Linked DNA regions of Saccharomyces cerevisiae S288C. The gene in region 2 interacts genetically with the main gene of each other region. Each region holds a gene or a part of one and is shown on either strand. Other genes may lie near its edges. The genes, in order: TIM11, GLR1, TCM62 and HXT8.

Region 1 (4,762 bases), on a different chromosome or scaffold from region 2:
TTCCACAAAATTAGTCAAGTTCATCGATAATTCCAAAATTGTCATATGCTCTTGCGAAGATGATGTATTTATTGTGGATCTAGAATCTGAAGAAGATGAAAAACCGCAAGAAGTTGAACTTTTGGAGGTTACTTCAACTAAGAGCAGTATCAAAGTTCCCTATATTAACAGGATCAACCATTTGGAAGTAGACCAGAACATTGCAGTAATTTCTCGTGGCTGTGGAGTCGTAGACATATTAGACTTAAAAGCAAGGATTTCTAAACCACTTGCTCGTTTGAATAATTTCATCACCGCTGTTCATATCAATACTTCTAGAAAATCTGTAGTAGTAATTACTGCAGACAATAAGATTTATGAATTCAATATGAATTTGAATTCGGAAGCCGAGAATGAAGATAGCGAAAGCGTATTAACTCAATGGTCAAAAAACAATACGGATAACTTACCAAAAGAATGGAAGACATTAAAAGAGAACTGTGTAGGGATATTTTCAGACATAGAAAATAGTAGCAGATTATGGTTTTGGGGGGCTACTTGGATATCAAGAATAGACTTTGATGTTGACTTCCCTATAAATAAGAGAAGAAAACAGAAAAAACGTACACACGAAGGGCTAACTATCACAGATGAAAGTAATTTCATGAACGACGAGGAAGATGACGAAGATGACGATATTGATATGGAAATCAGCGAAAACTTGAATGTATTATTAAACCAAGGAAACAAAATAAAGTCCACAGATGTACAAAGAAACGAAGAAAGCTCCGGTCACTTCTTCTTTACTGATAAATATAAACCTTTACTGTTTGTTGACTTAATTTCTAGTAATGAATTGGCAATAATTGAAAGAAATCCATTAACTTTTCACTCCAAACAAAAGGCGTTTATTCAACCAAAGTTAGTGTTTTGATTAATTTAAGTCAACATACCGAAGAATAGAGAGATGCTATTAAAAGGCTATCATACTCTAAGGGCATTTTTCAGTTACAAAAAACTCTAATGGCGTTAGTACTTTATAGAAACTCGCTAATGTAAAATAGCCAAGCACATACGCAGACATATATATGTAGTAATCACGTATGCAGACATTAAATGTGAGCCATTTATTGGTATAAATGTATTCCTGAATTACAAAAGTACTGGCGATGGAATCACTCTGGCTATCACTGTTATTTCCAGGCAGGGTAATACTTTGGGAAAACAATAGAATAATGAAAACATATGATCAGTAGCTAAATTGACCGACCTAAAGAGCAAAGCCGGATCTCATGGTTTTTAAAGGGATATCACCGAATTTCCTGGCGACTTATCTATTATGGATCTTGAAAATGTTTCATGTCCCATTTGTCTAAGGAAGTTTGATAACTTACAAGCACTAAATGCACATTTAGATGTTGAGCATGGGTTTAACGATAATGAAGATTCACTCGGTTCCAATGACAGTCGTTTAGTCAATGGTAAACAAAAAAAGGCCAGATCTGTTGATAGCAGTGCGCAAAAGTTGAAAAGAAGCCATTGGGAAAAATTCAAAAAAGGGAAGAGCTGCTGTCACACATGTGGAAGGACTTTGAATAACAATATTGGCGCCATTAATTGTAGGAAATGTGGTAAACTGTATTGCAGAAGGCATCTTCCTAATATGATTAAACTTAATCTTTCCGCACAGTATGACCCCAGAAACGGGAAATGGTACAATTGCTGCCATGATTGTTTCGTCACAAAACCTGGCTATAACGATTATGGCGAAGTAATAGATTTAACACCAGAATTCTTTAAGGTACGAAATATAAAAAGAGAGGACAAAAACTTAAGGCTATTACAATTAGAAAATCGGTTTGTCCGTCTAGTTGATGGTCTGATTACACTCTATAACACATATTCTAGATCCATTATTCATAATTTGAAGATGAATAGTGAAATGTCCAAGTTAGAACGTACAGTTACTCCATGGAGAGATGATAGAAGTGTACTCTTTTGTAACATATGTTCCGAACCATTTGGGCTATTACTAAGGAAGCATCACTGCAGATTATGTGGTATGGTTGTTTGTGATGATGCAAACAGGAACTGCTCAAACGAAATAAGCATAGGTTATTTAATGTCTGCAGCGTCAGATCTGCCATTCGAATACAATATACAGAAGGATGATTTACTTCATATTCCTATATCCATAAGATTGTGCTCGCACTGTATCGATATGCTATTTATTGGCAGGAAATTTAACAAGGACGTTAGAATGCCGCTAAGTGGAATATTTGCTAAATATGATAGCATGCAAAATATATCCAAAGTAATTGATAGTCTCCTGCCCATTTTTGAAGACTCATTGAATAGCCTGAAGGTGGAGACTGCCAAGGATTCTGAAAATACACTTGATCCAAAGAATCTGAATGATCTCGCTCGATTAAGACATAAATTACTCAATTCTTTTAACTTGTATAATACACTAACAAGACAGCTCTTAAGTGTAGAACCTCAAAGTCATCTAGAGAGACAACTTCAAAATTCGATCAAGATAGCTTCCGCTGCATACATAAACGAAAAAATCCTACCGTTGAAGTCGCTTCCGGCAATTTTGAACCCAGAGGGCCATAAAACGAATGAAGATGGGCAAAAAGCTGAACCAGAGGTAAAGAAATTATCGCAACTAATGATCGAAAACTTGACCATAAAAGAAGTGAAAGAGCTGAGAGAAGAATTGATGGTCCTAAAGGAACAAAGCTACCTTATTGAGTCCACAATTCAGGACTATAAGAAGCAGCGTAGATTGGAGGAGATCGTCACACTTAATAAGAACTTAGAAGAATTGCACTCAAGAATACATACCGTTCAATCGAAGCTGGGTGACCATGGGTTTAATTAAGACATATCTTTATTATTCGATCATTCGCGGAATCTCCACGCTAATTGGTCCGCGGAGCCAATCAGATCTATTTAAGGGTATAAATTTTTCTTTAGTTTTTTTGACTTTTCACACAGAAATTTTAGATAAAAGGAAGTATTATATCGGAACATAACGTATATAGGAACTAGCTGAGTGAGTTAAAGGATGTCGACAGTTAATGTTTTGAGATACTCTGCGTTGGGTTTGGGGCTATTTTTTGGTTTTAGAAATGATATGATTTTGAAGTGTAATGCTAAGAAGAAAGAGGAGCAGGCACAGTACGAGGAGAAATTGAAGCTGGTAGAGGAGGCAAAGAAGGAATACGCCAAGCTACACCCTGTAGTAACTCCTAAAGATGTGCCTGCGAACGCCTCATTTAATTTGGAAGATCCTAATATAGATTTTGAAAGAGTTATTCTTAACGCCGTTGAATCCCTGAAGGAAGCTTCAACATAAATAGAAGCTTCAACATAAATAGGATACTAAAAATGCACATTAGCTCGCACTGAATGACGAAGTTATGATGGATTCTCGTTCGCTAGATGTTCCATATTTTTTTCTTCATTCGTTAGTGCACAAACAATAAGGAAAAAAATGAAATGTATATATTCTAGAACATACTAATATCATACGTATCGTATTGTAAACAAAATTCACATTCCAAAAATTTTTCAGATTCTTACTTTATATTATTTGCATCAAGCTTTATTAACAATGACACGTTATTTTATATGTACAGGATACTATAATGTCATACTATTTAGGATCACCTTCTAACTCTGCTAAAAACCCTTCCAGGTGGTAGGCCATATTTTTCTCTGACGGCGGCGACTTTGGCATCCCATTCGCTTCTCCAGATATGTGCCCCAATAGCGGTTAGATTGTATTTCTTCGTAAATTGCCTGATATCAAAATCATCTCTACTTAGTTCCTTTCGGTCAATCTCTAACATGTTAGGACCTTGCTTATCCTCGATTAAGGGTTGTCTGAATACCCAAACAACGAATCTCTGTTTTCCAGCATTCTTTTCAGGTACCGGAGGTAAGTAGTCAGCGATAATATTAGAACTGTGGAACTTTCTTGGATCTATTAAATTGTCATTATAAGTCAAATTAATATTCACCAATCCGTAACACAAAGCCGTTTTAAATGAGTCATTACTCAAATCTGGAACATCAGGATTGACTATCAGTACCGTATACAATTGTTTTTCAACGTTCACAAGTTCATATTCTTGAATTTTGAAAATGGGACGCATGGATGTGACATTGGACGATAGAAATTCACCAGGTTCGATCCACTTATTTACACCAGTAGAGAAGGGAAATTTGATATTCACTTCTGCCCGTGGAACCAGAGTTGGAAGAGTATCAGGAATGGCAGCCAACGTTTCTAACCTTTGCATCAATAACATCTGGCCGTACGATTCCCAATGTTGTTTCCCCAAATGTCTGTACACTGGCACATCATAATCTATTATATCCTTAACATTGTTCAACTTGTTATTAAACTGAAAATTGTATTGTACCTCAGGATTATTGATCTCTGCTTTTATGAGAAGTGCATCCTTCTTCAAGGGATTTTTAGTCTTATTGGCCAACTCATAAAACTTACTGGATCTTTGCTCAAGAAAATCATAACTCATCCTGAAAATCTCATCAATGTGTTCTGGAGGTGAATATTTGATACGGTTACTTCTTCTGCTGATAGATGGTGGGTCTAGAGAAGCTTTCTTCTGGAAAAGGTAATTTTTCACTTTTGAAGATTGGATAGAAAGTGAACTAGGCCTTGTGGTAAAGTCCGACCAAATATGCGAAGTAGCATTAGGTTTTTGGAGGATTTTAGTGGTATGAATAGATCTTCGTAACATAGTTC
Region 2 (5,975 bases):
TGATATCAAGGAGAAAGCTGCATGGATTAGAAATAGACAAAAGACGATGATTGCTGAAGCAAGAAATAGGAAGTCCTTGAAGAACAAAGCTATCATGCCACGTTCTAAACTAACTAAGTCCTTTGGTAAAATGGAAGAACACATGTCCACTTTGGGCCATGACATGTCAGCCTTACAAGATAAACAGAACCGTGCTGCTCGTAAGAACCGTTATGTTGAAAGAGGTTCTGATGTTGTTTTTGGCGACCAAGATGCTTTGACAGCTTCCACTGAAAACGGTGTCAAGTTGAGACAAACCGATAGACTGTTGGATGGTGTTGCTGATGGCTCCATGAGATCCAAGGCCGACAGGATGGCCAAGATGGAAAGAAGAGAAAGAAATAGACATGCCAAGCAAGGTGAATCTGATAGACACAATGCTGTTTCCTTATCAAAGCATTTATTCAGTGGTAAGCGTGGTGTCGGTAAGACAGATTTCCGTTGATTTCTCTACTTCTTATTCTTTCTTTTGCATGTACTTTAAAAAAAATATGAATATAAAATGTGGATGTACGTACACGACATTCTAATCTTTTTGGGCTGGTAGGATTACCATTTACATTTGATTATCTCTCTCACTATTAGTGGTTTCTTTTTCTTTCTTTCTCACTTTTTCTGTATCTTTTTTTTAAAAAAATTTTATTTAATCTGTATAATAATAATAAACCGATTTAAATTATCCAACAAGCCGACCCCTCCATGTTCTACTATTTTTTTGTATGTCACTGGATGTATACAAATAATTAAGCATGTGGAAAAAGAAGGGGTGGGATAGCGTCAAGATGACACTTCTACTTTTTTGTGACACATCATCATGCAACCTATCGAGTCTCCCACGAGGTTGACAAATAAGAAATTGTTATCGTTTTTGCAGTGTATCGTATAAGGCAACAATAGCGATGTCTCCCATCAATTGACTGATAAATTCCTGCAAACTATCATTTTTTTTTTTTCATCCTTGTGCCGCGTCTGTAGCCGAAAATCTGAGAGTGCATGAATCTTAAAAAACAGAAGACTCATCGCCGTCTTTGGCACATTGGGGTTGTCTTTGACTTCTTTTGCTTATTTTTGCTCACTTTGCTTATTTTACCTATTTAACTAGAGGTTCTAAAAGAATAGCCAACCAGCGTGTAGTTCTTATTTCTAATCCTTGTCTTGTTAAGTTGAAACTTGTGATATTGGCTGAACAAATTCTCCGCATTTAGACAACACACAAATTACAGCTTTCCCCTAGTAACGATTGTTGATTGAGCTCAGACAATACGCGCAATTTAAAAACGTTTTATAGTGTAAGAGAAGACAAGTACAAGAAAAAAATGGTTGCCAATTGGGTACTTGCTCTTACGAGGCAGTTTGACCCCTTCATGTTTATGATGGTCATGGGTGTCGGCATTTCATCGAATATTCTATATAGCTTCCCATATCCTGCAAGGTGGCTAAGAATATGCTCCTACATCATGTTTGCTATCGCTTGCCTTATTTTCATTGCTGTGCAGGCACTACAAATATTACATTTGATTGTCTATATTAAGGAGAAAAGCTTCAGAGAATATTTTAATGACTTTTTCAGAAATATGAAGCACAATTTATTTTGGGGTACTTATCCCATGGGGTTAGTTACAATTATAAATTTCTTAGGAGCACTCTCGAAAGCGAACACGACGAAGAGCCCCACTAATGCCAGAAATTTGATGATATTTGTTTACGTCTTGTGGTGGTATGATCTCGCAGTCTGTCTAGTAATAGCGTGGGGTATCTCGTTTCTCATCTGGCATGACTATTACCCTTTGGAAGGGATTGGGAATTATCCTTCATATAATATCAAAATGGCATCCGAAAACATGAAAAGTGTATTGCTACTGGATATCATTCCGCTGGTTGTCGTCGCTTCAAGTTGTGGAACATTCACAATGTCAGAAATATTCTTCCATGCGTTTAATAGAAACATTCAACTGATAACGTTGGTCATATGTGCCTTAACGTGGCTGCATGCCATTATCTTCGTCTTCATACTGATTGCGATATACTTCTGGAGTCTTTATATTAATAAGATACCACCAATGACACAGGTTTTCACCTTATTCCTGCTTTTGGGCCCGATGGGCCAAGGAAGTTTTGGAGTCTTATTGCTTACAGATAATATAAAAAAATATGCGGGCAAATATTACCCAACAGATAACATTACAAGAGAACAAGAGATATTGACTATTGCAGTTCCATGGTGTTTCAAAATTCTAGGCATGGTTTCTGCTATGGCATTGCTCGCTATGGGCTATTTTTTCACCGTGATTTCTGTCGTTTCAATCCTGTCGTACTACAATAAAAAAGAGATTGAAAACGAGACAGGAAAAGTGAAGAGAGTTTATACCTTCCACAAAGGTTTTTGGGGGATGACTTTCCCGATGGGTACTATGTCTTTAGGAAACGAAGAGTTATATGTGCAGTATAACCAGTACGTTCCCTTATATGCATTTAGAGTCCTAGGAACCATATACGGCGGTGTTTGCGTTTGTTGGTCAATTCTATGCCTTTTATGCACATTGCATGAGTATTCTAAAAAGATGCTGCATGCTGCCCGTAAATCTTCATTATTTTCAGAGTCAGGTACGGAAAAGACGACAGTTTCTCCGTATAACAGCATTGAAAGCGTGGAAGAATCAAACTCGGCTCTAGATTTTACGCGTTTAGCATAAAATTGTTGGTTTTATACGTACATAATTGGCAAGCATTTCATGTAGGAGTCTCAATAGATAGTTTAATTCATTTGCACGGCGCTTTGCTGCTTTTGCTTCTTCACGTTGGTTTTCACTATGCCTGATATTTTTTGACGTCACTTAGTAAGCACGACCCTTGTCAATTTTTCGAGGATTTCGGAGCTTTCCATTTGGAATCTACTATTAAAATCAGTCTAAAAAAGTATAAGAAACACTTCTGGTTTTTCTCATGCGCTTCTCACTCTCAGTATATTTTGCTGCTTTCCTTCATATGTATATATATCTATTTACATATTAGTTTACAGAACTTTATGCTTTCTGCAACCAAACAAACATTTAGAAGTCTACAGATAAGAACTATGTCCACGAACACCAAGCATTACGATTACCTCGTCATCGGGGGTGGCTCAGGGGGTGTTGCTTCCGCAAGAAGAGCTGCATCTTATGGTGCGAAGACATTACTAGTTGAAGCTAAGGCTCTTGGTGGTACCTGTGTTAACGTGGGTTGTGTTCCGAAGAAAGTCATGTGGTATGCTTCTGACCTCGCTACTAGAGTATCCCATGCAAATGAATATGGATTATATCAGAATCTTCCATTAGATAAAGAGCATTTGACTTTTAATTGGCCAGAATTTAAGCAGAAAAGGGATGCTTATGTCCATAGGTTGAACGGTATATACCAGAAGAATTTAGAAAAAGAAAAAGTGGATGTTGTATTTGGATGGGCTAGATTCAATAAGGACGGTAATGTTGAAGTTCAGAAAAGGGATAATACTACTGAAGTTTACTCCGCTAACCATATTTTAGTTGCGACCGGTGGAAAGGCTATTTTCCCCGAAAACATTCCAGGTTTCGAATTAGGTACTGATTCTGATGGGTTCTTTAGATTGGAAGAACAACCTAAGAAAGTTGTTGTTGTTGGCGCTGGTTATATTGGTATTGAGCTAGCAGGTGTGTTCCATGGGCTGGGATCCGAAACGCACTTGGTAATTAGAGGTGAAACTGTCTTGAGAAAATTTGATGAATGCATCCAGAACACTATTACTGACCATTACGTAAAGGAAGGCATCAACGTTCATAAACTATCCAAAATTGTTAAGGTGGAGAAAAATGTAGAAACTGACAAACTGAAAATACATATGAATGACTCAAAGTCCATCGATGACGTTGACGAATTAATTTGGACAATTGGACGTAAATCCCATCTAGGTATGGGTTCAGAAAATGTAGGTATAAAGCTGAACTCTCATGACCAAATAATTGCTGATGAATATCAGAACACCAATGTTCCAAACATTTATTCTCTAGGTGACGTTGTTGGAAAAGTTGAATTGACACCTGTCGCTATTGCAGCGGGCAGAAAGCTGTCTAATAGACTGTTTGGTCCAGAGAAATTCCGTAATGACAAACTAGATTACGAGAACGTCCCCAGCGTAATTTTCTCACATCCTGAAGCCGGTTCCATTGGTATTTCTGAGAAGGAAGCCATTGAAAAGTACGGTAAGGAGAATATAAAGGTCTACAATTCCAAATTTACCGCCATGTACTATGCTATGTTGAGTGAGAAATCACCCACAAGATATAAAATTGTTTGTGCGGGACCAAATGAAAAGGTTGTCGGTCTGCACATTGTTGGTGATTCCTCTGCAGAAATCTTGCAAGGGTTCGGTGTTGCTATAAAGATGGGTGCCACTAAGGCTGATTTCGATAATTGTGTTGCTATTCATCCGACTAGCGCAGAAGAATTGGTTACTATGAGATGAAGCAACGAAACTAGACGTCCAATCTGCTGTTGCTATACTGGACTTTTGTACTCTTGTAAACAATCTTATATAGCATCCTGAAATACGTAGTAATTTTGTCATTTCTGTTCAAGGACAAGGGTTCCTTTTTTTTTCAGACTATTAGCTACTGTGGACTCGCTTGGATATTCAGTTGAGGATACATTCCGACTCTCGTTTACAATACATATGATTATTTTTCTTTTTGTTAATTATATAAAAAATAAAGTTATTTGATTTTAAGCTTAAAAATACACAAAATACAGAATAAGAAAGGAGTTTTTGAACAAAAGAATTTATCTTTTACTGCTTTCTAACTTTAAGCCTTCAAAGAAGAAGCTCTTCTCTTTCTGATTTCAGCCTTCTCAGCCTTTCTTTCAGACAATCTCTTAGCCAACAATTGAGCGTATTCGGCAGCAGCTTCTCTTTGAGCTTGAGCGTTTCTGACCTTCAAAGCTCTTTGGTGTCTCTTTCTTTGCAATCTTTGAGGAGTAACCAATCTTTGGATCTTTGGAGCCTTGGTGTAAGTCTTTTCACCCTTGGTGACTTCTCTTCTGATGACGAAATCACGAACGTCATCTTCCTTGGACAAACCGAAGAACTTTCTGATGTTGTTAGCTCTCTTTGGACCCAATCTCTTTGGAACAGTAGTGTCAGTTAGACCTTCCAATTCTTGCTCACCCTTCTTGACAATGACCAAAGCCAAGACAGCCAAATCTGGACCAACAATGGCACCTCTGACGGACTTTCTCTTTCTTTCACCATCACGTCTTGGTCTGTAACAAGAAACGTTCTTGGTCAACAACAACTTGATTCTAGTTGGCAACAAAACACCTTGCTTCATTGGGAAACCTTGTTTGTCGTTACCACCAGAGATCTTGAAGACGTAACCCTTGAATTCGTCACCAACGGCTTCACCATCGACTTCTTGACCGATTCTCTTGTCGAAGAAAACACGAATACGGTGTTCATCATCAATTTCGAAGGTCTTTTGAGACCCGTTAACTGGGTAAGAAATGTTCAACTATTTTAAATTTTCAACAGGTTATTAAGAAAATTTGTTAGTATACTATTGCAAAATTAATGTTTGAATAGGGTGAAGTTTATTACTCTAGAGAAATTATTAAGTGGAAGATGAAAAAGCTTGTCTTTTATTGACTATACTCCAAGTATATGAACTGCTTCAATTTCACGGTTTGTAGTAACAGTATATGTAAACCCGCTCTGTTTGTTTAAAAATAACGCCACAAACGCATCAATTAGTATATGGTAGTCTTCCTGCTTCTTTCCATAAAAAATTTCTAAAATCTTTACGACGTCTGGTTCTGTTTAGTTCTTTCTCACTTTCAAACTTTCATGCCATTTTTCCACATATAAAGTTCTCTGTTGCCCCTCAATAATAGTATCATAAATCATACCTTCATGATGTATAGTCTGTCTT
Region 3 (6,400 bases), on a different chromosome or scaffold from region 2:
GAGGAACTTTCCGATTTATCTGATACAAGCTCAAGTGGAAGTAGTAAAATTTATACTATCCCCACATTTCGCGGCCTTACTAATAGGACCAATATATCACAAATTCTTTCAAAAGTTGGTAAAGCTGATTTAAGCCAAGATAACTTAACGCATTTGATCAAAAGTCATCAAAAAAAGAAAAGATGCGTGAATTTTAGAAATAAAAGATTCTATGATGCTTTCAATCCATATGTTGATAACGAAGAAGATGCAGAGTTATCTGACAGCGAAAACATTTCAGAAATGGATACAGATCTTTGTATAAAGGATCGGAGTACCTCAAGTGTTAGGTTTGATGAAAACTCACGTCTTTTAATCTACAAAAAATCTAAAAAGTTAAACAAAGATGAGACTCAAAGTGGTTATTCGACTACTGAAATGAGGTCAATTCTAAAGACAAAGATGAATTCACAGCATGATGAGGAGTCTCAGAGAGCTTCGAAGTGTGACACAGTAGGTGTAGCCCAATTTTTACATTATTTTCAATATACAGAGTATAAAAGGCAGAGAAATGAAGCAGAAAATTATAGACTGAGAGGAGAGCAACTAAGCAAGTACTATTCTGAAGAATATCCTTTGGATTTTGCGGCTGTTGAATGCGAAGATTCCGTTAATGATAAATCTGATATCATACTTAGTATGAGAGCTACGGAAAGAAACATTGGTAGGCAACTGAAAGGTATAAGTAGTCAAGGGGCACAAATTATATCGCTTGATGAGGATGTTTTTTGAGCGAAAAAACAACACTTAACTGCCAATACTCTGTAAAATTGTTTTCACTTTACATCAATACATTATCTACGTGATTATACATATAGTTATGCATTTGTAGCTAAGAGGGAATCAACTACTGATAGTTAGTATTCAGTGAATAACATAAAAAAGCATTAGCATACAAAGATAATACGCCTGTGCAATTTTTTGCCTATCAAATGCGCCTTTCTAGACAAGATATTTGGTTGAATATGGGTCAGCTATCTTCTATCTGTCGTTACCATATCAGTTTAAGACTACATTGTTAATATTGCTGGAATAGGATTATAAGCGGCGTTGGAATCGACCGCACAAACTACTTGGCTATTTATATATGATTCAAAATTCAGCACCTGATTTAGTAAAGGCAGAACTTTGACGATTGGTAATGTGTTAGAAAAATGTTCTGCAATGTTATATAGAATACGGCTTTCTTTATGTGAATTTTGATATATTGGTGGATTTTGTCATAATTTTTGGGATTTCGTTGTTGTTAAGGTTATAACATTAGGAATAGAGAATATGATAAAGGTTCTTCCCCAGGATACAAAAATTTACAAAAGAGATTGATACTTTTACGTAATAAGGCTACTATTTCTTTCTCCATTTTATATATTGTCACCCATTGTCCTACTATATTTTATTTCAGCTTCCCAAACATCTGATGACTGTTTTTCAATCTTTATATCATCTTTTTTACACTGTATATGATAACATATAATAATATGACTACTGGTAGACAGATGAAGGTTGATTTTGAGATATTGGTGAATTTTGAGGTAATTCTTGGGGTTTTTATTGATTAAGGCTATAATATTATGTATGCAGAATATACTAGAAGTTCTCCTCGAGGATATAGGAATCCTCGAATGGAATCGATACTTCTACATAATAATATTACGATTATTCCTCATTCCGTTTTAAATGTTTCATTATCATATTACATTATCAATCTTTGCATTTCAGCTTCCTTTAACTTCAATGGCAGTTTTTTCATAGCTTATGTCATCATCTAACATCGTATATGATAATACCAGTAGTATAACTATAGTTGATGGACGATAGTTGATTTCCATTCCAACAGATTCTTATTCCAACAACTTTAATATTATCTTCTTGATGTAGTTGCACATAATATAGAAATACTTCGTAGGGAATTAGCATCCCCTCAACTTACAAAACATTCATTGAATTTACCAGTTATAGGGCATGCGTAATGCTTTTAGATGAGATATCCAATGTATACAACTAACCGATATCCAAAAATGACATAGTATCGAGTTCCGGGTCCAATGGTCCAGTGGTTCAAGACGTCGCCTTTACACGGCGAAGATCCCGAGTTCGAACCTCGGTTGGATCAAACTCTTTATTTTTTTAAATTTGCTACTTTAGGTTCGTAGAAAGTCTCTAGGAATGAAATTATATCTTCTGCGTTCGAAAAGAGTAGCTTTAGTTGAAGAAGTTTTGATTTGAAGTGCATTAATGTCTTCCGCTATCTGTGGGAGTGAAGGCATCATTAGAGATAGATCTCAGTGATACCTAATAATACAAGAAGTAGAAATAAAAAATGTGCCCCTAAAAGTACTACCAAGGTATCCGAATTGATTCCTTACGCAGACCTCCCCTATCACAAAATTGAGATGAGGAAGTAGCCAACCTGGTCCTATAAACGTTTAAGGGCAATACGACCGAGTTTTCATTTATTCATTTATATGAATTGCTCTGTCGTGTTTCTCTCTCGGTTCCAGCAGTAAATTTAATGAATCCCCCAAACATTACGGAGCATTCATTACAGATCGGTGGCACCGTTGTATGGATGTATTGCCTTTTTGGAACAATACATCTACTTGCCGAACGTTATGTTTTAGATGGGTCCGCTTTTAATAGTTTAGGTAATTCTTATAGGATTGAAAATCTCGGTAACTAAAATCCGTTATGGCTTAAAAAAATGTAAAAAATAAAGGCCCTTTCTTCCATTCCCTGTGAAACAAAAGTTTCGATAGTGCGATAGTTTACCTTTTACGAGCTTTAACCTGGCGTTATTTTCTCCCACACTACTGTAAACATAAAACTCTCTTATGCTTTAACGAGTATGCTGAGGAATTGTTTGAGGAAATTGGGAAATCATCAAACGAAATGTTCGGTAAAAACGTTACACACCCCAATCTATAGAACAAAAAACCTTCAGGTTCTCAGAGATACGCTCTCTGGTATTAAGCTGTTGGAAAAAATAATAACTTCATCCTCCTACAATAAAACATTGATATATGAACCTAAGTATAAATCCAAGCCACAGGTCGTTAGTTCTCATGATACCATGAGACTTCACAATGTAATGCGTGAGTTACTAGATTCCCTACAAGTAGATGAAGCTACCAACACACGACTTCAATCAAACAGGCCTCGAAAGCTGGGGAGGGTTGGTCTACAATTATTCATGGATTGCATTCAGGACAACTTAACAGCAACTTCAACATCTTTGACATGCTCTTTACTGGAGCACTATTTCAAGTATCCCGAAAAAGAAGTGACCAATGGGATCAAGGCCGGATTACGATATATCAGAGATTTTCTTGCGAAGAACAAGATTATAGTGAAAAGTCAAAACGATGTTGATGCTCTGGTCGAGCAATTGACTATGTCCTCCTCAGACAGCCAAAGCATCAAAAGGGTTTTGAAAGCCATTAATTATGAATTGTTTTCGGATGACATTGTGCGGGTCATAAACGGCAACAAAACTTACGATGAGGTTGATGTATCCAAGGGTTGGAAATATCCAGCTGGTATTTTAGATAGTAATGAAGCCTATTTAAGGTCCCTGGAGTTGCCTACTAAGAAATTAGTTTCCATTGATAAAGATATGCTAGTTCTTATGTATGATGGGACGTTACGAGACGCTAATAAAATTCTACCCACGATAACGTATGCAAGAAAGTTGAGAAAATCTGTTCTCTTAATCGTTAACGGAGATTGCACAGGTGATGCATTAACATCCGTTACAATTAACAATAACAGAAACAAGAGAGAAAATAATGAAAGCCGAATAGTGGTTTTGAAGTACTCTAAAAAGGCGAACAATGACTTAGCGCCACAGGAGAATCTTGATTTTATAAAGTTCTTACGGTTGCCTTGCGGATATGACAGCATCTACTCACCAGAATATAGTCCTTTAGTGCCAAGCAAAATGTGTGCGGATAAATATTACGGCAGTATCGAATCCATAAAAGCGACCACAGGGGAGGCATTCTTATATAACTCCATTGATGCTGAAGCGATTCCAAATAAAGTTCCGAAATCCTTCCTCCAAAATACGGTCACTTTAAGCATTGGTGGACATAACGAAATCGAAATCGACAGAAGAAGAAATGCAATAGATAATTGCTTAAATAACGTCCTATGTCATGGGCTGGCCAAAGGTTTCATCCCAGGTTACGGCATCTCCCTACTGAAGGCAATTCCAGGTTTGAATGAACTGAAAGCAAATGAACCCAATTTCATGACTAAGGTAGGCATCAATGCTGTTTTATCAGCAGTTATTCTCCCATCAGAAGTGGCGTTTAAGAATGCATATGGGTACAACTATTATGAGATCAATAGCCTGATAGCAGGCGCTATAAACGAAAAATCGTTTCCAATGGCCAAGTTTTCTCCAAATTCAGAACCGGTGAACACAGTAAAGGATGGAAACTTGGAGCCATGGAGCAAAATGGATTCTTGTTTAGCCGGTGTAGAAACGTTCATTGAATTACTTACAAGCTGTAATACAATTATCACATGTGTATACAAAAAGCCTGAACGGCACAAAGCCTAGATAAAGCCCTTACATACTTTTAAATAGTCAGAATGAGTCATTGTAAATAGATATTGCCACGGCGCTGCCTTTTATCACTTTTACCTCTTCGTAAATATCTATTATTCCTGCTCAATTTCTCATATGCGGCTTCGGAAAAACTCGGGTTTTTCCACGCCTCAGCAGTAACTCCATCTACCTTTGGGGATTTGAACCATCTCATTCCAGTTTTGGATAACTGCGATTAGATTAAAATATTAAAAGATTATCGATTAGATAAGATAGAAACCAACAAAATTTGTTGTAATAGCTGTGTCCTTGTATCCTTAAAAGAAAACAGGGTTGAAGGCATATGTATTCACATCTTTCTAACTTGTTAACGTCTATGCTAGGACCGAAGTCAGAAAGCGATAAACATGCAAGCCCAAGGTTCACAATCGAATGTAGGGTCTTTGAGGAGTAATTGCTCTGACAATTCACTACCGAACAATCATGTTATGATGCACTGCGATGAAAGCAGCGGCAGCCCGCACAGCGAGCACAACGATTATAGTTACGAAAAGACCAATCTGGAAAGTACGGCATCAAATAGTCGTGAACACAGAGACAACCAGCTAAGTAGGTTGAAGAGTGAGGAATACGTTGTTCCAAAGAATCAACGTAGGGGACTATTGCCTCAACTCGCCATTATACCGGAGTTCAAGGATGCCAGAGATTATCCACCGATGATGAAAAAGATGATTGTCTTCTTGATTGCGTTTTCCTCCATGATGGGCCCCATGGGCACATCTATCATTTTTCCAGCGATCAACTCAATCACAACAGAATTTAAAACATCAGTGATTATGGTAAACGTTTCAATTGGTGTGTACCTTTTAAGTCTTGGTGTTTTCCCATTGTGGTGGTCTTCTCTATCCGAGCTAGAGGGCAGAAGAACTACTTACATAACTTCATTTGCATTATTGTTTGCATTTAATATCGGGTCTGCTCTAGCTCCTGATATCAACTCATTTATTGCCTTGAGAATGCTCTGTGGGGCTGCTTCTGCCAGTGTTCAAAGTGTAGGTGCTGGAACAGTGGCTGATTTATATATTAGCGAAGATAGAGGTAAAAATTTGAGTTATTACTATTTGGGTCCACTACTGGCGCCGCTACTATCTCCAATTTTTGGATCTTTGTTAGTGAATCGCTGGCCCTGGAGATCCACTCAATGGTTTATGGTTATTTTATCCGGATGTAATGTCATTCTTTTGACGGTGTTACTACCTGAAACATTAAGAAAACAAGATTCTAAAGGCGCTATCGCTCAAATTTTGGCTGAAAGACGTATTCAAGTAGACAATAACGAACGTGGAGAGATACAAGAAGATTATCAGAGGGGAGAAGATGAGACAGATCGAATTGAAAACCAAGTTGCCACATTATCTACTGAGAAGCATAACTACGTTGGAGAGGTAAGGGATCAAGACTCGCTAGATTTAGAAAGTCACTCTAGCCCCAATACTTATGATGGTCGAGCTGGAGAAACCCAATTGCAACGGATTTATACAGAGGCGAGTAGAAGTCTGTATGAATATCAGCTAGATGATAGCGGTATCGATGCAACAACAGCACAAGTTACGAGAATAAGATCAACAGATCCAAAGTTAGCGAGATCGATTCGAGAAAATAGTCTGAGAAAATTACAAACCAACCTGGAAGAGCAAGTCAAAAAAGTGCTATCCAGTAATGGAGGTGAAATCGCTCCTAAACAGGTATCAGCGGTGAGGAAGGTCTGGGACACCTTTTTTGTTTATTTTATCAAGCCTTTAAAATCAT
Region 4 (6,284 bases), on a different chromosome or scaffold from region 2:
GGTGCGGGAATCACCATTTGAGTTTGCATAGTTGCCAAAAAACATGGTGTAGGAGGCCTCATTATCAGGAACTGAAAAGTCCGTATTATCGCTACTGAAATTGAAAACAGCAAACATTTTTTTGTTATCTGTGTCCTTTGTAAACATGAATAGCTTGTCATTATCAAGATCAATGAACTGAAAGTTATGTCCATAAACAAGGATATCTTTGTGCTCCTTTCTAACTTGTAAGGCCTTTTTCCAGAAAAAGAAGACTGAGTTTTTATCTTTTAACTCAGCTTCTGCGTTGATTCCGTCTCTAAATGATTCATTCATGTCAATCCATGGTTTGGCATCCTTCGAGAAACCTGCAGAAGGCTCATCAGCACTCCATGGGAATGGTGTTCTCCCATGATCTCTAGAGATCAAAGCTAATGCTTCAAAAAACTTTTTCATCTTTTCAGAATCTTCACCATAATCACGTTTAATGGCGGCATATGTACCAGTACCTTCAACGCATTTGATTTGCTCAATTTTTCTGTTTTTGAAGTTGGGCATACCCAATTCTTGTCCTTGGTAGATAAAAACAGTACCAGTCAATGAAATGATGAGAGTAGCCAACATCTTGGACGAAATCTCACGCCATTTAGGAGAATCTGAGCCAAAACGCGAAACGCTACGAGGTTGATCATGATTCTCCAAATAGATGGTCGACCAGCAATCTGTGTTTTCGATAAACAGAAAGCTTTCAGCAAGAGCCAGCTTAAAGTCTTTTAAAGTAAAGGGAATAAGTTCGTACTTGCATTTTGGGTTTTCACCTACTGAGGTGTGCTTGAAGTTGAACATCATATTTAGTTCTCCTTCTTTGGCACTGGTATAAACTCTGAAGTCGTCTTCATTCCCGATACCAACTTCTCCAACAGTCATGATTTCTTTACCCTCTGGAACTTGCGAGAGCATGTAGTTATGCATTTCTTTATGATACTCATGGATACGTGGCCCATTTATGAAAAATTCAGTTCCTTTTTGGTAAGGAACTGTAGGATCAGTGATAGGAGCATCGGGTAGGCCCTCAACCTTAGAATACATGCTGCCTACGTCAATACGAAAGCCATCAACGTTGTGACGTAGCCAATAGCCCACTGAGGAGTCATAAATGGCTTTACGGCACTCTTCATTTTCCCAATTGAAATCAGGTTGGCCAAGAGCAAACACATGCAGAAAGAACTCACCAGTTTTTTCGTCATATCTCCAAGCAGATCCACCAAAGAAAGATCTCCAATTGTTGGGAGGAATTGGATTACCTTTCTCATCGTAACCCTTTGGAGGTCTCCAGAAAAACCAGTCACGCTTTGGATTAGCCTTAGAAGATCTACTCTCCTTGAACCATTCATGCTCTTCAGAACAGTGGTTGATAACCAGGTCAACAATAACCTTGATACCTCTCTTATGAGCTTCTTCTATCATTTGGAAACAATCCTCATTGGTACCGTAACGTGGCCAAACCTTCTCATAGTTGGCAATATCGTAACCCATATCTTCTTGAGGAGAGTCATAAAATGGGCACACCCATATCGCATCGACACCTAATTCTTTGACATAGTCAAGTTTGGAGGTAATCCCAGCTAAATCACCCCATCCGTCATTGTTGGAGTCCTTGAAACTAGCAGGATAAATTTGGTAGACGGTGGCTTCTTTCCACCATTTAGGATTATGGATGATCGTCATGTTTTTCTTTTCAATATTGAGCACTTTCTATATAGTCATCAAGAAACAGTAGTTTTTCGCACCAAGATATGTGAACAAGTGTCCTAATTTATAATTCGTCAGACGTTTATGAACTTACTCCTCAAAACCGTATCAATTACCGTAGCGGTAATGGAAGATACAATTCTTAAGTGTGAATTACTTTTTCCGGTGAATTAGCTTCTAGGATTGTGACTATTTCAATGGACAATGTTGCAAATAGTTTCAAATATTCCCGTGTTTCTCCGAGGATTCTCCACGGAGGAAAAATAATGCAAAGTTTATTTCCCCGTTTTCTTTTCTCCGTCTAGGCATTTACGCTTTCACGCAACTTTATTATATCACCTCCGCGGGGATTCAACAACGAGGTATGTGGAGAAGGAGAGAAATTCCAGAGAAAGCAGCCTAGAGCATCCTGCTGCAGCAACTTATAAACGTATCTCACAGAAAAGGCCGGAGAAAGTTCTTGAAATGTGTAATTTAGCCTACCTGCCAAGCGGCTGGAATTATCCCGAGAATAATTCCGCGACCGGGCCTGTTCCTGAACTCTAAGAAGTTTTGGAATTTCCGAACGCTTCTTCGCATGAAAGACATGAACTCTTAAGTAAAATAATATGAACTGGCATGGTCGTAATCTTTTGGACGACGGAATATCATCGCTAACCATTGTAAGGGATGAAGCTTGACTAGATATATTTAAACGACCATTTTTGTTTCATTCTTATTTTAGATTGCATTTTTTATAAGTCACTTTTAGTTAGCTCAGAACGCCAGCAAAAACCATGACTGATCGTAAAACCAACTTGCCAGAAGAACCGATTTTCGAAGAGGCAGAAGATGATGGCTGCCCTTCGATAGAAAATTCTTCACATCTGTCAGTACCTACAGTGGAGGAAAACAAGGACTTTTCCGAGTATAATGGGGAAGAGGCAGAGGAAGTTGTTGTTCCAGAAAAGCCTGCTTCAGCCTATGCTACTGTTTCTATCATGTGTTTATGTATGGCTTTCGGTGGATTTATGTCCGGTTGGGACACAGGTACGATTTCTGGTTTCGTCAATCAGACTGATTTTTTAAGAAGATTTGGTAATTATAGCCATTCCAAGAACACTTACTACTTATCTAATGTGAGAACTGGGTTGATTGTGTCCATCTTCAATGTGGGAAGCGCCATTGGCTGTCTTTTCTTGTCTAAATTGGGTGATATTTACGGCCGCTGCATGGGTTTGATTATAGTTATTGTCGTTTATATGGTTGGTATTGTCATTCAAATTGCCTCTATAGATAAGTGGTATCAGTATTTTATTGGAAGAATTATCGCTGGTATAGGTGCTGGTTCCATTAGTGTTCTTGCCCCGATGCTTATTTCGGAAACTGCGCCAAAGCATATCAGAGGTACGTTGCTAGCTTGTTGGCAATTGATGGTGACTTTCGCAATTTTCTTGGGTTATTGTACCAATTATGGTACCAAGACTTACTCGAATTCTGTCCAGTGGCGTGTTCCGCTTGGTCTATGTTTTGCATGGGCTATTATTATGATTGGTGGTATGACGTTTGTTCCGGAATCTCCTCGGTTTTTGGTGCAAGTCGGTAAGATTGAGCAAGCTAAAGCTTCTTTTGCCAAGTCGAACAAGCTTAGTGTTGACGATCCTGCTGTGGTTGCAGAGATTGATCTTCTTGTTGCTGGTGTGGAGGCAGAAGAAGCAATGGGAACTGCTTCATGGAAGGAATTATTTTCGAGAAAGACTAAAGTTTTTCAACGTTTAACGATGACAGTCATGATTAACTCTCTGCAGCAACTAACCGGTGACAACTATTTCTTCTACTACGGTACTACTATCTTCAAATCTGTCGGTATGAATGACTCTTTTGAGACTTCAATTGTCTTGGGTATTGTGAATTTTGCTTCTTGCTTCTTTTCACTTTATTCTGTTGATAAGTTGGGCCGTCGTAGATGTCTTTTACTTGGAGCAGCCACCATGACGGCGTGCATGGTTATTTACGCCTCCGTTGGCGTCACAAGACTATATCCGAACGGTAAAAGTGAACCATCATCTAAAGGTGCTGGTAATTGTACGATTGTTTTCACGTGTTTTTACATTTTCTGCTTTTCCTGCACCTGGGGACCTGTATGTTATGTGATTATTTCTGAAACATTTCCATTAAGGGTGAGATCCAAGTGTATGTCCGTTGCAACAGCGGCCAACTTATTGTGGGGGTTCCTAATCGGGTTTTTCACTCCTTTTATTACTTCGGCAATTAATTTCTACTACGGTTACGTTTTCATGGGTTGCTTAGCGTTTTCATATTTTTACGTCTTTTTCTTTGTTCCAGAAACAAAAGGTCTAACTTTAGAAGAAGTTGATGAGATGTGGATGGACGGTGTATTACCTTGGAAATCTGAATCCTGGGTACCAGCTTCTAGAAGGGATGGTGATTATGATAACGAAAAATTACAGCATGACGAGAAACCCTTCTACAAAAGAATGTTTTAGACCGGTGAAAACACACGCAAGCAAACTTCAAAGTACATTGATAAATAATGTCCAATGCCCTCTGTAATATAGGGGCTTTTTAATTCCTAAGACTGATTCGATATATTAAACACCAGGGCTACTGAAGACTGACAGTCACGTTGAGTCCTATTATATCATTTTACTCACAGAAGATTTGGTAATATGATACTTAGATGGGCTTAACAACAAAGTGTTTTCTTGATGTTACTGCCCATGAAAAAAAGCAAATCAAATTAGTAGGCGGATTGTTAACTTTGTTTATTTTGAAACCCGTCAGGACTACCAAAATATAACAAAGTATTGATTATCGTCAACGCTTTATAGATCACTTTTTTTTTTTTTTGAGGAACCGATTAATTAATACATCGTAGCCTCTGCTTATTGCATAACACAACAAAAAAATACAATAATACGCAACTTTTGTTTATAGAAAAATAAAAATGGAACATATGATATTCTCTGTTCGTCATATGATAACTTAAGCACTTTCGTGTGTACATAGGTATTCTAGTGCATTGGAATGAGATCAATTATGATTTCCTAACCCAGAATTTATATTACTAATGATTTCAGAATTAATAAAAGCTGAAATAAAAGGAGTAGCAATGTAATAGGAAATAAACGAGGGCACATAGAAAGGAAGAAGAAAAATTACATTATGTGGAATTATTGATTCCCTTGGCAATTTCCCATAGTCTCATGAAAATTCCTGGCCTATTCTGTATTCATAATTCCATACTCTTTTTTAACAATGAAACTCCGGTAATTACCACAATATTTACTTATATCTCAATACGAACGCATGTTCTCTTCGAGGAAGACCAGCATTAGCGCTAAGCGCTAAGCGATGAGTTGACTTAATTTTTAAAAGGACGATGTTGGCGCGTTAGTGCATAAGAAAGTCAGCAAATCCCTTTAAGCTGAAAACCTTGATATATTTCTCGGCCTTTAATAATGGCGCAACTGATTTTAATTATCTTTGAATGGCTTATCTGTAACGAACATGTGTTACTAAACTAGTAGTAAGTTAGAAATACTGTTTATCCAGAATATGTAAGTTGGTGCTTCTAAAGTAATATAAGACCGCTTTAATTTGTTGTAACCTCTGAAATACAGGTAACCGCTGGGTCATCTCCTATCTAACTTTTGGTAAAAATGACATCGAAAAGAACAATTTTCGAAATATTCAATTTGTTCGGGTGTCGGTTTAATGCTCAAGGCCCCAATATTTCATAATAGGATTCTAAGAATTGCAGAAAATTCAGCTATGTTTCACCCATTTTGTTATTGGTGAAAACCGCCAAATCGATATCGATATAGTCACATTTTAGAGCGTGCCGATAGTCTCTAAACTTACACGAACGTCATTATTTGTAAGTAGACAACTGGGAATTTTAAAAAAGGTTGAGAAGATTCGTTTTATAAAATATGACGTCGTAAAAGAAGAAAGTGACAATACTGTTGCTGCGGGTTAAAAAAATAATTCTCCTACAAGCTTGAGACCTTTATTACAATTCCTACCTAAATTGGCTCTTCAGGGGGGTTTTCTAGGCAGGTATCTCTAGAATTTACTCAAGAAGTTTATTTTCTAGTGCCAAAAAGTCTACTGCTGATATTCGCTTCTACTGATTAAGAGCTGCTTTAAACCATCTTGTTGCAACATTGAGTTTGGACTTAAAGCCTCAAGTTGTTAGTGATGTTGCTTTTCAGGATGACGTGTAGTTGATCATCTTACAGAAAAGGAAGCAATGGTACGTATAAGATATTATTTTAAATGAGAAGTAGCTGGTCTTCAAATCACAGACATTGTGATGGCAAAGCAGTGATAAATAAAGTTTTCACACCCAAAGCAACATCTTTCCAAACCGTTTGTGTGCCGTGGTGAACAGATAGAAGAGGGCACTGTTATTCAAATTTTGAGGGTCGGGAGAATTAACTCGTTAATTATTCCTGGTGTCGAATTTGCGTCATTCCTAAACTTGGATATTCTTATATGGCAAAAAAAGAATTTTTTATGCCACCAACACGACGGCATATTCTGGAGTG

Evidence for each region.
Region 1: mutations in GLR1 (region 2) and TIM11 together harm fitness more than expected from each alone (negative genetic interaction), as found in Saccharomyces cerevisiae (one large-scale study listed by BioGRID).
Region 3: mutations in GLR1 (region 2) and TCM62 together harm fitness less than expected from each alone (positive genetic interaction), as found in Saccharomyces cerevisiae (one large-scale study listed by BioGRID).
Region 4: mutations in GLR1 (region 2) and HXT8 together harm fitness more than expected from each alone (negative genetic interaction), as found in Saccharomyces cerevisiae (one large-scale study listed by BioGRID).

The regions. Positions count from the first base shown.
Region 1 is NC_001136.10:1,110,584-1,115,345, reverse strand, and holds TIM11 (F1F0 ATP synthase subunit e), read left to right. Parts: upstream 1-3,052; coding exon 3,053-3,343; downstream 3,344-4,762. Other genes in the region: small subunit rRNA maturation protein UTP4, read left to right, coding at 1-913; PEP7 (phosphatidylinositol-3-phosphate binding protein), read left to right, coding at 1,319-2,866; mitochondrial 54S ribosomal protein mL38 MRPL35, read right to left, coding at 3,654-4,757. UniProt on the Saccharomyces cerevisiae protein: Mitochondrial membrane ATP synthase (F(1)F(0) ATP synthase or Complex V) produces ATP from ADP in the presence of a proton gradient across the membrane which is generated by electron transport complexes of the respiratory chain.
Region 2 is NC_001148.4:372,438-378,412, forward strand, and holds GLR1 (glutathione-disulfide reductase GLR1), read left to right. Parts: upstream 1-3,064; coding exon 3,065-4,516; downstream 4,517-5,975. Other genes in the region: putative GTPase NOG1, read left to right, coding at 1-484; SSU1 (Ssu1p), read left to right, coding at 1,356-2,732; 40S ribosomal protein eS6 RPS6A, read right to left, coding at 4,854-5,558, 5,953-5,958. UniProt on the Saccharomyces cerevisiae protein: Catalyzes the reduction of glutathione disulfide (GSSG) to reduced glutathione (GSH). Constitutes the major mechanism to maintain a high GSH:GSSG ratio in the cytosol.
Region 3 is NC_001134.8:322,544-328,943, reverse strand, and holds TCM62 (Tcm62p), read left to right. Parts: upstream 1-2,884; coding exon 2,885-4,603; downstream 4,604-6,400. Other genes in the region: protein phosphatase regulator GIP1, read left to right, coding at 1-771; QDR3 (Qdr3p), read left to right, coding at 4,999-6,400. UniProt on the Saccharomyces cerevisiae protein: Chaperone. Required for the assembly of succinate dehydrogenase subunits. Ensures mitochondrial gene expression at elevated temperatures and prevents heat-aggregation of the ribosomal subunit VAR1.
Region 4 is NC_001142.9:24,380-30,663, forward strand, and holds HXT8 (hexose transporter HXT8), read left to right. Parts: upstream 1-2,507; coding exon 2,508-4,217; downstream 4,218-6,284. Other genes in the region: oligo-1,6-glucosidase IMA5, read right to left, coding at 1-1,707. UniProt on the Saccharomyces cerevisiae protein: Probable glucose transporter.